Linked DNA regions of Mus musculus. The protein of the gene in region 1 interacts with the protein of each later gene in a biochemical or structural test. Links are inferred from orthologs where the notes say so. Each region holds a gene or a part of one and is shown on either strand. Other genes may lie near its edges.

Region 1 (7,770 bases):
TCGGGGGGGCAGAAAAGGAAAAAAACCCACAAACCCAGCCCTCGTGCTCCCCATAGAAGCTTTGTGGTGATTTGTCACTTTGACCTAATTCCTTTGTCCATTTTGCCCTTCGTTTTGTTCTTTTTTTTATGGCTCAGATGGTCCATGGACATGTTACATGCCAGCTTTAGTCTGCAGGGCCTCCAGGCCCCCTGGCCTTCCAGCTGGTGTTGTCCTCTGGGGACTTGTGCAGGACAGCAGCTTGGAACAGAGCACCAGGGCTGGGACTGGGCTTCGGCTGCTGAGGAGCTTGCATAACATATGATGTGCAAAGCATTGGTCCCACCCCCCAGCTCCATAAACTAGGCATGCAGGATATCAACAACTTTCTCCAAGGGCATGAAAAGATGCAGAACACTTAACGAAATGTATGACACTTGCTCCTTTTCAAAGAAATATCAGGAAAAAAAAAGGAAACTTTAGGCTTGGTACGCATCTTGAGTGAAATTATATAGCTCATAATTTTTGTACCCGTCTCAGTGGTAAACTGAGTCTTAGACTCTGACCGGTGCTCAGGGAAGTGATTCTATTTCAGAGTTCAAACTTTTGTCAGCTTCAACATATCTTGAGCTGCTTGGTGATTGCCACTGCAGGAGAAATGGGTCATTACTCTGCTATGTTCATATTTAAGTCCCTGGCCCCAACATGCTCAATACGGCAGCTAACTTAGAGAATACTGATCATTTCCTGGGTGATTTGCTGTGCAAATTATTCAGGCTGTGGATGAGGTTTGTCCAGCATTGGGTCTCAGCAGGCCAAACATCTTTGTTTATAGTTAGTATTATCAATGCAATCAGAGTTCCTATATAAGGCTAGAAATTGGTCTATCTTAAACTCTCCTCCGTGCTGAGTAGGACAGACATGTGGCTTTCAGTAAGTCTGGCACCGTGTGCTCATTGTAATAAAGTCGGAAGCTGTATGTAGAAGCCAGATCTTTTGAACAGTACCCTGGGGTCCTCAGACATTTCTGGAGTTTGTCAATAGAAAAGGAAGAGAGAATAAGCCCTCAGCTTTGTGGCAGATAACAGCTACACAGGCTAGCCTATCTGTGAACATGCTTCTAAGTGAGCTGGTTTCCTTTCTTAAGTTGGCACCTGTTTTATTTAGACCACTGCCCTTGGAAATAGTGACTGGGAATAGTAAGATACTTTTAACAGCAAGTTGAGACTGGTGATGTTAGTGGGATGCCAACCATAGAGAGGCTGGGGAGGAAGCATGGCTGAGAGTTCAAGGCCAGCCTCTACTACATATGAGATCATGTCTAAGAAATGGGATAAAAACAGGTGTAGTTCTCTCCTGGGGAATCTCAAACTGTCGTGGTTTGTATCTTTAAAACGTTGGTGGTGGCTGGGATGTAGCTCAGTGGTTGTGTGTTGTCCTAGCATGCTTAAGGCTCTGGGTTGGGTTTTTAAGATGGTAAGAGGTGACCAATTCTTGGGCTTGTGTCTTCTACGAGCCCGGCTGCCAGCCTTGGACTTTGTGAGGTGCTTCCATTCTGGATTGACCAGATTCTCCTTTGTCCTCCCACCCGGGCAGCTTCTCCACAGCCCTGCAAGAAGAGCGTTTCTCTGTGCCACCAGCATTTGATTGAAAGGAAGGGATGGTGATTGTTCTCATTACACACTTGTTAGGCTAAAGGATCCAATTTCCAGCCCTGGCAAGAGGCGCTTCGGGCAGCACCACGGCCAGCGCCCGCCTGTTCGCAGCGGGCAGTGGCCGTCTCTTAAAGGGGAAGATACTTTGCCAAGCAGCCAGGGACCAGGCAAGCCACTTAGATCCCCTATAAGGGAACTGGCTATGATTCAGAAGGGAAAACCACGGAGTTTGGGTGAGAAGACCTAACTTTCTAACTTCATTTCCTAAGGAGTTCACCCAGTCTGTGAACAGTGAGAGGTGGAGACGGGTCCTTCGCCTGCCCACTGCCTACTCCCAGTAAATAAAGACCACACACAGTTTATTGGAGCAAAACAGAATGGCTGGCTTTAATGCTTCAAGTTTTCCATTTCCTTTCCACAGGGCTTTGTTTGAAAAATAACAAAATGAGGTAAAACGAGTCAATCTATGTACACGTCAAAAACAGGCGCCGGCTGCAGTGGCGGCGATGGAGCCACGGCGGAGGACGGGGCCACCCTGCAACCACAGCACGATTGTCGATTGTCGTCCTGAGGAGAGAGAGCGCGAACGCAGACGCGAGTGCGCCTAGAAGCATTTGCGGTGCACAATGGAGGGGCCAGCCTCGTCGTACTCCTGCTTGGTGATCCACATCTGCTGGAAGGTGGACAGCGAGGCCAGGATGGAGCCACCGATCCACACTGAGTACTTGCGCTCAGGGGGGGCGATGATCTGCAAGACAAGAGTGTCACGTGCCTGCGTGTTCCCCCCGCCCCTGGTCTCCACCCACACCAGGCACGTCATCCACCTTGATCTTCATGGTGCTGGGAGCCAGAGCTGTGATCTCCTTCTGCATGCGGTCAGCGATACCAGGGTACATGGTGGTGCCCCCTGACATGACGTTGTTGGCATACAGGTCCTTCCTGATGTCGATGTCGCACTTCATGATGCTGTTGTAGGTGGTCTCATGGATCCCCGCAGACTCCATACCTGGTGTCCGGGGGAGAGGCAGTGTGAGCAACCGCAGAGTCGGGCTAAGGGACCGGCGGGTGGAGACCCCGTACTCTGTGGCGTGGGGCGAGGGAAAACTGATTCCCGCACACCAGCGGATCGGGCGGCTCACCGATAAAGGAAGGCTGGAAGAGCGTCTCCGGGCAACGGAAACGCTCATTGCCGATGGTGATGACCTGCCCGTCGGGCAGCTCATAGCTCTTCTCCAGGGAGGAGGAAGAGGCAGCGGTGGCCATCTCATTCTCGAAGTCCAGGGCCACATAGCACAGCTTCTCTTTGATGTCGCGCACAATCTCACGTTCAGCTGCAGGAGCAAAAGCAGTGGGGGGCCTCAGGGCAAGGCCTGGGGCGTGTGCTCACCCTCTGCCCGCCCTCCCTCAGCGGGCATTGGAAGCACGCACCTGTGGTCACGAAGGAATAGCCACGCTCAGTGAGGATTTTCATCAGGTAGTCAGTGAGGTCGCGACCGGCCAGGTCCAGACGCATGATGGCGTGTGGCAGGGCATAGCCCTCATAGATGGGCACGTTGTGGGTGACACCGTCCCCAGAATCCAACACGATGCCTGTGCAGGGGAGAGGCAGTATGTGAGTGGAGGGGACCAGCAGGCGGCGCAGGTCGGGATACTGCAGAGGATTAAAAAGCGGGGCTGGAATGTTGGAGCAATCCTACCAGGGCCAGCGTGGGCCATGTGTGGGCCATGTGTGAGCGCTTACCGGTGGTACGGCCGGAAGCATAGAGGGACAGCACCGCCTGGATAGCCACATACATGGCAGGCACGTTGAAGGTCTCAAACATGATTTGAGTCATCTTCTCCCGGTTAGCTTTGGGGTTCAGGGGGGCCTCGGTGAGCAGAGTCGGGTGCTCCTCAGGGGCCACACGCAGCTCATTGTAGAAGGTGTGGTGCCAGATCTTCTCCATGTCGTCCCAGTTGGTGATGATGCCATGTTCAATGGGGTACTTCAGGGTCAGGATACCTCGCTTGCTCTGGGCCTCATCACCCACGTAGGAGTCCTTCTGACCCATACCTACCATGACACCCTGCAGATAGAGACATCAGACACTTGTTACTACAGCCAGGGGTGAGGAGAACATTGGCTGGATTCAGAGAGCCTATCTTTCCCTGCCAGCAGCCTGACCTGGTGACGGGGTCGGCCCACGATGGATGGGAACACAGCCCTGGGGGCATCATCCCCGGCAAAGCCAGCTTTCACCAGGCCAGAGCCGTTGTCACACACAAGAGCGGTGGTCTCGTCTTCGTCGCACATGGTGTCTAGTTTCTGCAAAGACAAGGTGTTGAGTGCTGTGTATATGTGATGGGGGGGGGGGGTTAGGGTGAGGCTCCGCTTAACCCATCTTCACTTTGGAGATCCAAAAACTCCTTTCCCCCTTCCCCTTCCTTGCACGGGGGTCAGAGGATGCTCTTCCAGCTTAAGGCTGTGCTTTCGCTATGGGGGAGCTGTCTGTGGATCACACTAAGTCCTCCAACTAGGCATGCAGGGGATATCCTGAGACCCTCTACATTCATTGTAGGCCACCACACACACCACAGCTAGCACTAGTCCTATCCTCTCTGCTCACAATCTCATCTGTGAAGGAGGTATTAAGGCACGCTGCCCACCACCTGCCTGTCCTGTGAGAGGGTCGAGGATTCTGCCCGGGGAAGGGCGATATTGTCACAACTATGGAAAAGCTGTTGAACACTCACAGCATCCCAAACTCAGAAGAAACCCTTCCACCTGTCTCCCATTTCAGAGAAGAGTAGCCAGGGTTGCTGCCCTTTAGAAAAGCCTTGATCTCAAAGGGAGTCGCCCCAAGGCTAAGGCCAGGCTTGACTCTCTCCAAGCTCATCTTCAAATCAGTCTCCCAGGAGCTGGGGTGTAGCTCAGTGGGAGATCCAGCCAACCTCTTGCATCACAAGAGCCCAGATTTGATCCCAGCAGAGAAAGAGGGGAAAGGGGAATGAAAAGCCGGAAAGAAATCTCAACCAACCAGAGGCTGGCGTGTGGCTCAGTAGGAGAGCACCGGCTTGTTCACTTGCAGGACTTGGATTTAGTCCCCAGTAAGAGGGGAGGGAGGAGTCTGCGGGTGGTAATGGATAGATGTCAGACCCCCAGGCATATCCTAAATGCCCAGTCAGCAGCCCAAATGGGCTGGATGTGAGTTTGGAGAAATTTCCAGAACTCAGTGCTAAATACAAGCCCAAGGCTCAATAGCTTTCTTTGCTGGGTCTCCAGGTCACCCTCCCCACCTCCACCCTACCTGCTGCTCTGACTCTGGCCCTGGGTGCCGAGGGTAGGAAGTGAGGCTTCACGTCCGTGTGACCGCCTGTCCCCTTGCACAGGTTTTTATATAGTCCCGGGAGCTCTCCCCACACCGCCCCGAAGGAATGTTGCTGCCCTTCCCAAGCCATATTTGGGTGTCGGGCACTAGAGTCCCTTCCTTCGGCTGGTTCTCAGCCTGGGTCCCCGCCCGGGTCTCCTGCACTGACCAAAGAAGGAGAGGACTGGCCCTGGCCCAGGTAGCTAGGACCGGACCAGGCCGTATATGGAGAGTATCCCCAGCTGTCTGCCCCTCCCAACTGGCTCCAAGGCTCACGGAAGGGCTGTGCTGGGCCAAAGGTCACTGCTTTGCAGACTGCTGGTCTGTACTTCCCAAGATTTACCTGTTTGAAAGGTCTCCCCAGTTCTGCCCACCTGGACACACGATTGCTGACCTGCCACAATGCACCCCATTTATGGGTTCTTAACTCAGACTACTAAGCCTTGATGCTTAAGCTCAGGGGAGGTAGCCCTGTGGTCAGGTGAGCCGGGAGGAGTCATGGGCTCCAGGTAGGGATGGAAAATAAGCCCCACATTTGAACTCCATTTTCTTTCCCACTTTGAAGCTCCCCCAATCCAGAGATCTGACACACATCACCCCCATTCACCCCCACAAGGCTGTCAGTCAGTGTAGGATATGCAGCTGTCACTGGGCAGACAACTGGTGGAAGAGGGGGAGGAGGTAGTGAGAGGAGGCATGGGGACTATGTGGCCCTGGCACACAGAATGGGAGGCCAGGGCATTAGAGCTGTCCCTGCATTCTGCAGTGTACTCTTGAAAGGAATGGAAGGGTCAGTGTGTGTGTGTGTGTGTGTGTGTGTGTGTGTGTGTGTGTGTGTGTAAATCCCAAACTCGGGATTGACCGTCATCGAGTTGGCTAGGCTGAGCAAATGCTACCCCTTCTTTGGTGGCACTAAGCTTCCCTCCCCTGGGTCTGAAAGAAGGATCATACCTGGAACTGTTGGGACCTAGAGGGGGCTGAGGCAGAGAGAGGTGCTGATGAAGATATACCTTCTAAGGAGCACTAAGACCTTACACTGGTGCCCAGGAGCGGCCCCTCCCAGGCAGACTCATCTTTATATTTAGAGGATGATGCCCGTCAGCCCGGCTGCTTCCCATGCACCTTGGGGCCACCACCTGCCAGGCTTGTGTGGGTTCTATTTATACCGCTGATAGATGGGAATCTGCTTTTGGGTTTCTAGAAGGAGCAACTTATGGAAGCTGGGATGGGGGTGAGTAGAGGTCATCTCTTGGCGCCTGTCTCAATTTGGGCAGGGAGAGGGATAAGAAAGCCCAAAGGAAAAGTGTTCTGTGACCAAACAGGCGACATGCTTTGAGGGGTGTGCATCAGAGCCAAGCCACCATGGAGCCATTCACTTTTCTGATGGCTTAAGCGCTCCCAAAATAGCTGTTCCCATTTGGAGTGGAACTTAGCAGCTGGGACAGGTGCAGAGCCTCTGAGAGCAGAGGCTCCATGAAGCGATTTCAGGATCCCACACAGCTCTTCCTAAACCTGAGCTGCACTGCCTAACGGGCATCAGCTCTGTGGCTTTGCCTGTGCCCTGGGCCAGGACCTGGAACTGTTAAAAAGAAGCAAGCAGCAAATGCAGACTATGGTCAGCTTTGGGGGTGCTTACATTTGGGGCATGGATGTAGGGAGAATTGTCCAGGTGACTGGACCTCATCGGGCCGGGCTGTACATACCGCCCCAGACTCTCGAAAGCTCTTGCTTATCCCACTATGCAGATTTCTCAGCTTTGCGTGACAGCATAAAGTGGACCTTGAACGCAGTGGTTTGCGAACTACAGGAAACCTGCGGCCCCACACCTGGCGCAGCAGCAGGCAGGTGAGTAGGCAGGTAAACTCTAGGTTCAGCTGCACCCTTTCCTTTCCTGACAGTTTTTCTCTGGAATCCCGGCTAGGTTCTCGCCGGCTGTCTTCTTGCTGGGCCCTTAAATGCTTGTGTGCAGGGCACTTACGCCACCATGCGACACACCCACACCTCTTCTTAATCTCCCCCCCCCCCCCTTTGCCCCTTTACCCCTCACATCCTGTAAGTCCTTGCGGTATCTACCAGAAGCAAACAGGACAACTAACAGGCAGCACGGCAATCCCTCAGTCCTGTTGCAGCCTAGGCTTGTATTAGCATCAGTCTGTCTTTCCCTAGTGAGCAGCAGCACAGGTCGGCTCTACCCTTTCAACTCTTGCAGCAGCAGTTCTGGAACCTCAGAGCCTGACAGGGAAGGCACGCGTGTCACAGGACAGGACAGGACAGGAGAGGGAGCTGGTCCCCTCTCCACTCACACTGGGGACTGAATTCGGGCTGGGCGGCCGAGCGTAAGGAGCTGGTTCTTACAAGTGAAAAGCAGACAAAAAGAAAACCTCGTTTTTATTAAGGCAATGCAGATGCATGCAAGGACCTGCCATCCCAGCAGGAGAAGGAAAACTGGAGCTCCTCTGAGAACAGAAGTCCAAAGGTGTGCTAAGTACTCACCATTGCCCACACAATACAAAAGGTGGTCGACTGAAGCTCATTTCAAAACAGAAGCCCAGCTTCCAGGTCCACCAGTTACTTGTGTTTATTTTGGATATGAGCTCAATGTCAGGCTTCACACGCCTTAAAAAAATTGTTCTAGCCAGGGCTGGTGTGTACACTTGCAGTTTTAGGACTTGGGAAGCTGAGGCACAGGGGCTGAGAGTTTGAGGCCAGCCAGAGTTTATATGCACATATCATACACATATGATAAATATATACAACATATATACACATTGTTTTTCAACATATATTGT
Region 2 (7,646 bases), on another chromosome or scaffold:
GTAAATGACTTAATTAACATTTCATAAAAGAAGAAATACAGATACTTGAAAAACTTTTAGCATCTATCTATCTATCTATCTATCTATCTATCTATATATATATATATATATATATATTAACAGGTATTAGAAGCCTTCTCAATACCACAAGCACCAGGGAAATGTAAATCAAAATCACAATATATCACCTCACACCTGTGACAATTATTAAAAGAAAGACAGTGTAGGGATGCAGAGAAAGAGGGACCAGCACACAACGTTTATTCCTGAGGATGTGCCTTGAAGCAGCCATTATAGAAACAGTGCACCCATTCCTGAAAGAATTTAAAACACAACTATTATACTGCATTGCCCAGCATACTACTTCTGGGTGATAAGAGATATGACGTCACCATATTAAAGGATCCCTTGAATTTCCATGTTCATGGCTGCAACATTCTTCACAAGAATTAAGATATTAAAGTTACATGTGTGAGTCAGTGGAAAAATGGGGAAATGAAATATGCTGTTGACATGCAATGTGTATGTATTTCAGCCTTATGAAAGGACATTCTATTAATTAACAGCGTGCCTGATCTCTAAAGTCATCATATTAAGTATAAATGGCTAAAAACAGAATAAAAAACATGTAAAATGATTCTATCCATGGAATCTGAAGTGTGAAACTCATAGAAACGAAGGGTGCCGTGAGGGTTATTATGAGGCACAGGCTGTGGGGATTGGAATGGAGTTGTTGGTCCAAGAGGTTCAATTAGATTGCAGAAATCATTCTTGAGACTTTTAAAAGAACATGAATTGTAGATACTGTGTATACTAAGCATGTTAACAATGGTAGACACCCATGAAGAATTTATTTCTTCATTACCAATGGTTCTCAACCTTCCTAATGATGCAACTGTTTAATATAGTTCCTCATATTGTGGTGAACCCCAGCCATTAATTTATTTTGCTGCTACTTCATAACTGTAATTTTGCTACTGCTATGAATTGAAAATATCTGATATGCAGGATGTCTGATATGTAACCCCCAAGGGAGTTGCAACCCACAGATTGAGAGCCACTTTTCTAGATAAATTCCACATTAGCATTTGATTTCACTACTGTCATAACCTTCTAGTTGGAGTGCTGGAATTCCGTGACTACAGCATGAACCATCAAATCTGGCTCTCAATGTTCCTATGATTATCAAAACTCCATTTAAAGTGGGTACCCAGATTCTGTGGCAGTATTCAAAAATTTCATTGATCACTTACTGTCAGTCACTAGAGAACTGCAATGGGGGCTAAAACTGAGTTCTCCATTTCGTGTTGATAATTATAACAAACAGATAGTGGGGGGGGACCCCATTGTTAAGTTAAAAGATCTCTTTATCTTCTTCCTATTATAGGTGAAACTCATGGTCTTCTAAAGGGTGTGCATGTTAATTCTTATACACATAGCGGTGACTGCACTCCTGGCATTGTGCTTTGTAACCATGACATTGCTATTGGTTTGCAAGGAGGCTAATGTTTCTTTTGATGACAGCAGTAACTACTTTTCTGACTTGAGAGCTCGTTTGGAGAGATTTTGTAAAGGAGAAGAAGAAGAGGAAATGTAGCTTTACCATCTTTCATTTTTCTTTCCCAGTTTGGTGTTATACTTAACAGAAACTTGGATGCAAACCAGTTTAGTAGTCTATAAGAGCTTATTTCCTATTGATAATTATGTTCTTAGTAACTGTAAAGCTGCAGCAATAGTTGGTTCCTCTTACTTACTTTGGTGTGGGAAGAGGACCTGGGAAGGTCAGCTGCAGGTTAGCGCTGCTTCTGTTTCAGTTCTTGGGAAAGAACATGGATCAGCCAGCAAGAACTGCCTCTGCACGTCTTGGGCCAGCTGAAGTGTCTGGTTTTCTATGACTTGGTAGATTTCCTAAGTCAGTTTCCCCGAGATAAACCTAGTTCCTAAGAGGGAGAACTTTGTGTTGTGGCACAGCGGGTTTAGGCCCAGTTTGGAAACTGGATCCAGTTTCCAAAAGACAGCTTCAGATTACTGGCTCTTAGGAAAGGTCAAGTGTCTTTAAAAAACTGATTTAAGTAGGGTTTCTTGTGGACTTACCATTGCCTTGTTACGGTGGACACATTGATGGTAAACCGCTAATCAGTAAAGAACGGCTACTTTCTCAAATATGCTGGACCGAGGGAACAGTTTTCAAGCTATGTCTTGAGCACAGGGTGATTGAAATAGTGTTTGAGGAAACTGTTAGGTCTCTCAGAATGTCAGACATAGAGAACTACCACCACCCCACACCTCAACCCGCATCCTAACCCTCTCTCTAGCCAGTCTTGCGGCCATTCTGAACTGGAAGCCAGCTGCAGTCTCAGTCTGTGCTCTACCACTTCCAACCAGCAGGGGGCATGCCCAGACTCCATCGGATCATAGCATGGCTCCCGCTGACGCAGTTGTGGCTCCGGATGCCACACTTGGTGTGGTAGAATAGGGAACCACAGATGAAGCATGTCCTGGCAAATACTTTGTAAATGTATTTTACATGGCTCTGGGTCTTGTCTGGTCTACAGGACACGGGCTATACGACTTGAGGGAACTGATTTGATCTCTCTCTCCCCTCTGCCCCTCTCTCTGCCCCTATCCTTTCCCTCTCGCTTCATTTGTTTCCTTTGGGACTATGGCTGCTGAGAATGTGAAATAAAGGTGGGAGACTGCCTTTATGTCTGCAATTTTGAAGCTGACCCAGGGGCTGCCTGCTGAGTCCAACCCTAGCACACCCTGGGATTTTTGGTTTTGGAGACTGAGTTTGAACTTGCTTCAGTAGCATATCTCAAGGTTATATGTATCCCCAGACACTTACAAAGGCGCTTTCAGGGCTGCGTATGGCACCACCGCTTACATAATTCATCTATTCACTAGTACCTATTTTTCTAAGATTTGGTAGTCTCCACTCAGGACTTATAGCTGTAGTAAGCATATGCAGATGAATAAAAATGAATTTAACATAATTTAAATAACAAAATAACTCACATAAAAATGTGAATGCAGGGACTAGAGAGATGGTTCGGTGGTTAAGAACACTCACTCGCTGCTTTTTCAGAGGAACAGGGTTCAATTCCCAGCACCCACATGACAGCTCACAACTACCTGTAACTCCAGTTCTAGTGGATGGCACTCCCACACAGGCATACATGCAGGCAAAACACCAACGCACATAAATTAGAAATAAAGTCAAGACTGAGTTTATTCTTGCCATCATTAATAAGTGATAATTCCCAGGGAGGCATATACTGCTGGTTAAATGTGTTATTACTATAAATATACATGAATGGTTTGAATGCTGCTGTCAAGAAAGAGTACTAAATGAACATCTTAATTTGACAAATCAGAGTGTGTGCAGATGCCCTTATAAGCATCAAAAAATAATCCAGAGATGAAAATTATTCAAAGGGAAATCTATAAAATAACACCTAAACTGTACAATAAAAGGCTAAATTAGGGTTTAGAGATCATCTGGAAAAAAATCAATGGAAACATCTCTGGAAAGTTTTCCAGTTGCAGAATTTATGAAGTTACACACATGTCCTGTGACCTGCTAGCACTGTCGGAAGCCTCAGAACACTGCAAAGGCCAATGTCCCAGGGCAAGGGTGATTTCCATGAAACACCACCCCTGTTACCTTGTTTATTATTTTATTTCAGAGATACTAAAGTTTCTTATTTTGTGTGAGAGGTATTTTTAAAAACTCTCGTTCCTTGCAACTGCTGAAGAGTACGATCCTCTAAGGAGGATCAAAGAGCTCTCTCAGCTGGCGTCTTGTACCACTGACATCGTGATGATACCAAGGAGGGTAAGCATTTGGGAAATAAAAATGCTTAGTTGTGTACCAGAGGCCCCGGTTGCATTATAGATCTTACTTATCCAATGTGGGGAGGAAAACTGAAAGCTTACATAACCCTACTTTCTTTTAGGAGTTGTTTTGCTTGTTTTCAGATGGTCTCGGGCAGCCCAGACTAGCCTTGAACTCCCTATGCAGCCAGTTCACCAGGGAAACTTGAAATCCCAAGATCCTCCCACTCTCACCTCCAGTGTTCTGAGGTTGCAGACATGCACCGCCATACCTGCCTCTATCTTTAGTGAGCTACTTATTTCTTATGTGTGGGGAGCATTTCTTACTAATGCTACATGGCCCAGCTGAGCTCAGATCGATCCCTCTTTGTTCCTTCTTTTATTGTCTTCTAGAGCATCCACTATTTCTTCTGTTAGTTACTCTTCAAGTTTTAAAGTGGCACTGGGAAATTAAATTAGCAATAGTTCTTAGTGAAAAGAGGAGCCTTACCTCTCTCTAGAGCGTGCCCAAAGGCTAAGGCCAGCAGGAGAACCAGAACCCTCTTCATTCTGCGACCAGAGAGTCTTGCAGCACCTCCTCTCACCTGCCGGCCACCACGCAAAAGGCAGGAGCACAGGATTTGCAAACGATCCTAACTAGAAACTCATCAATTATTAATCTCTGCCCAGAAGCAAGGGACAATCAGCCTTGTTCCCAAAAATAGATAGTAATATCATCATAAGGCAAATAGATACCCCTGGGGAATATGGAGGAGAGTCTGGGAGGTTTTAATCATTAACTTTGTCACTGGGAAAAGCCAAGGCATGTGGATACTTTCCCACTGCAGTTTTTCCATGGCATCTACTTAATGTACCAGTAGGGGTACACTTCCCTATTCTATATGGAGGAAAAGATATGTCTATGTCTTCTCTGGGTACTCCCTACCACTCCTATGTATTGATGGAAAAATTGGGAGCTGTGTTTCTTCCTTTCTTTTTCCTCCTGTTCTCCCTTTCTTTCTCTCTTTAAATCTAACACAAATAAGCATTATTTTAAAATATCACAGATTAGATATTTTAAGTTATGAGTAAAGAGCAAGAAGCCAGTTAATTTATTGCAATTCTCTAACTCCATGAATTTAATGTCATTAGGTAATTGTGGTGACATCATGCCTTATATCTATGTGTTACAGTGCACTATTGAGTATATGTTTAGAATAGCTCTTGAGATGAGAAAAATAATAGATGGAGAGCTTCAATGGCTGGCTTACCATTGCACATGAGCATGTGAGTACCCACCACACACACTCACACACACGATGTGATGTAAAAATCTTAGGACCACTGCAGATCAGTTAGAGATCCCTCTACTACCATGTGTTTGACATATTTTATAATAGCATAACTAAAAAATTCACAGGGACCTTTTAGGACTTGATATCTTGCATCTCTATCTTAGAAAAGAGAGTCTTCCCTCATGTGAATCCTGTACCTTGCCCAGAATGTCAGATATTGATCTTACACTGACATTGGGTCCTCAGGTTCAGGAACCACAGTCTTAGCCAGCTCTTATTTCTGAATAATATAGATTTATTTCTCCTCTCTAGACCCATTGTTCAGTTGTGAACTCTTAGGGGGGGGGTTGTTGGTTTATTTGTTGTTTATTTATTTATGTATTTATGTATGTATGTATGTATGTATGTATGTATGTATGTATGTATGTATGTATTGCTCTTCCCTTAGTGTGGGATTAAGATGAACCATGTGCCGGATATCTAATGCATGTTTGCACGCATTAATGTTCTTTCATTTCTCCTAGTTATTCTCCCTGACTACTCATGTTTCCAACATCTGAGGATAGCATAGGAACCACGGAAATCTACATTCCATTTGAAGATTTAAAATTCAACCCCATGTCTGGGCTCTTAAAGATAGGTGCCTGAGAATGCCCTTACCAATCAATTCAGTGGTTAAAGATTAGCTGTGCAGACAGAGTCCACCAACATCTCAAACCACAGTAAACAGTTACCTGCTTAGTCAGATCAACAACTGTATGGGAAGTGAGTGGGTGTTAGGTTCAGTGGTGTAAGATTAAATAGGAACTATTTCTTTAAAAGCCAGTGGAACCCACACAGCAGAAGATATCAACAGAGGCCACAAGCATTGCTGAAGACACACAGGCAGCTTCCTGCTCACCCACTACCTGCGTTCTGTGTAAAGGTTAATTTCATGTGTAATACAAGCCTGCATGATTTTCTTTCCCTTGCGAAAGTTAATTTAAAGGAAGTTTTATTCTTAACTACAAATATTTGGAAACAGATGTCTCAAAATATCAAAACCACCAAGAACACACAGATTGGTACAATTGTTAACAGGTTTGTATATTTTTAATGCCAAGATTACACTATAAATATCATTAGAATCTACATAGTATCTCAGTCATGTTCTCATAATTTGTTTTTTAAAAGATACATTTAGACTGTTTTCCATGAGTGCTTGCAACAAAATTTAAGACTAGCCCATATCTATTTTTTTTTTCAAATTATAGCTCTATCTGTGTTTTGGAAATACACTCTTGCTGTTTAATGATAAACTACATGTTGCAAGAATTGCAACATCTGAATTAGGCACATTCTTGAGAAATCTCCACACAAGCTGCCAAAAACAACTTTCAGGGATGCATCTGTCTTTTTCTAACTGAAGATCAGCACAAATGCACCCATTTCAGTCTGACCTTGGTGTCTCTTCTTACTCTTCTACTGCTGTCCTAAAGTAGAGCAGAAATACACAAAAGTGGCCTAAAGGACACCTTGTGTGACAATTGTTAGTAGTAAATCTAATGTGAAGAAAACTGAGACCAAATCAAACTTCAGAGCCTGTAATAGAACAAGCATTGTAGAAACTGATGAATTTATTGTAGAGATACACATTTAATTAAATATTTAGGTAGTGGACTTGTACAGGCATGTTCTTTATATAGGTAATTTATTTAGGAGTGAAGATGGCTCCAATGCTCTTATCTGACCTTTGTGGGCACTTGCACATATGCCACACACACACACACACACACACACACACACACAAATTCAAATGAATAAATCTTAAACATCTTATCAAAAGTGGCTTCTCTTTTTTCTCTGTCCTTCTCTTAGCTTCAGAGGAAACGTAGACTCTTGTCCTCATCAGGGGAAGCTGGGAGGAGAGAGGAAGCAGCAGGGCCATTCTTTAGTTCTTCCTGCTGCATTTCTCTTTTCTAAATGGCTCTCAGGTCTTGCACTCTGAACTAAACCAGTGTCTCTGGCGTCTGATGCTGCCAAAGACTGCAGGGAAATGCCCCAATACCTTACTCCAGTAGAAATGACTTCTTCCTGGGAGTTCATCTGCCTTGTGACCTGTATTCTATTAAATTTGCCATCAAAATATTTGTCTGATAACTGATAAATTGGATAATAATATTTTAAATAATATCCCACATTTAAAATGTATCTACCACTCCATAAGTTATTATTTAGAGTGTTGAGTCTAGTTAGCAATTTAGAAATGCCTAATGACTAACAGTGATGATCACTTGTAGTGTGGCTGATTGCTAAATTCTATTTTAACCTAACTGAAATCTTGTGCCCTTTGAGCAAAGTCTTGGTCCCAGTTCCTCCTCCCCCAACTCCATCATCTGGTACCCATAACCTTTCTATTCCATTTCTATAAGGCTGGTTTAGTTTAGCTTCTACATGTAATAGTGACCTCACAGTGTTTGTCTATAAATGCCCGAATTTTAGCACAAGGCCCTTCAGGCATCAACAGTGCAAATGATTCCATTCCTCCTCCTCCTCCTC

What was found. The genes of interacting proteins can lie anywhere in the genome.
Region 2: the proteins of Acta1 (region 1) and Gc are reported together in a solved structure, tested with the Homo sapiens proteins (2 studies listed by BioGRID and IntAct). The link is inferred for Mus musculus from reciprocal best matches to the Homo sapiens genes ACTA1 and GC.

The regions. Positions count from the first base shown.
Region 1 is NC_000074.6:123,889,771-123,897,540, forward strand, and holds Acta1 (actin, alpha skeletal muscle), read right to left. Parts: upstream 5,006-7,770; 5' UTR 4,922-5,005; intron 4,742-4,921; exon of another isoform or gene 4,652-4,741; intron 3,940-4,651; 5' UTR 3,928-3,939; coding exon 3,799-3,927; intron 3,701-3,798; coding exon 3,376-3,700; intron 3,225-3,375; coding exon 3,063-3,224; intron 2,966-3,062; coding exon 2,774-2,965; intron 2,641-2,773; coding exon 2,459-2,640; intron 2,383-2,458; coding exon 2,239-2,382; 3' UTR 1,988-2,238; downstream 1-1,987. UniProt on the Homo sapiens protein: Actins are highly conserved proteins that are involved in various types of cell motility and are ubiquitously expressed in all eukaryotic cells.
Region 2 is NC_000071.6:89,453,337-89,460,982, forward strand, and holds the start of Gc (vitamin D-binding protein precursor), read right to left. Parts: upstream 4,563-7,646; 5' UTR 4,383-4,562; coding exon 4,325-4,382; intron 1-4,324. UniProt on the Homo sapiens protein: Involved in vitamin D transport and storage, scavenging of extracellular G-actin, enhancement of the chemotactic activity of C5 alpha for neutrophils in inflammation and macrophage activation.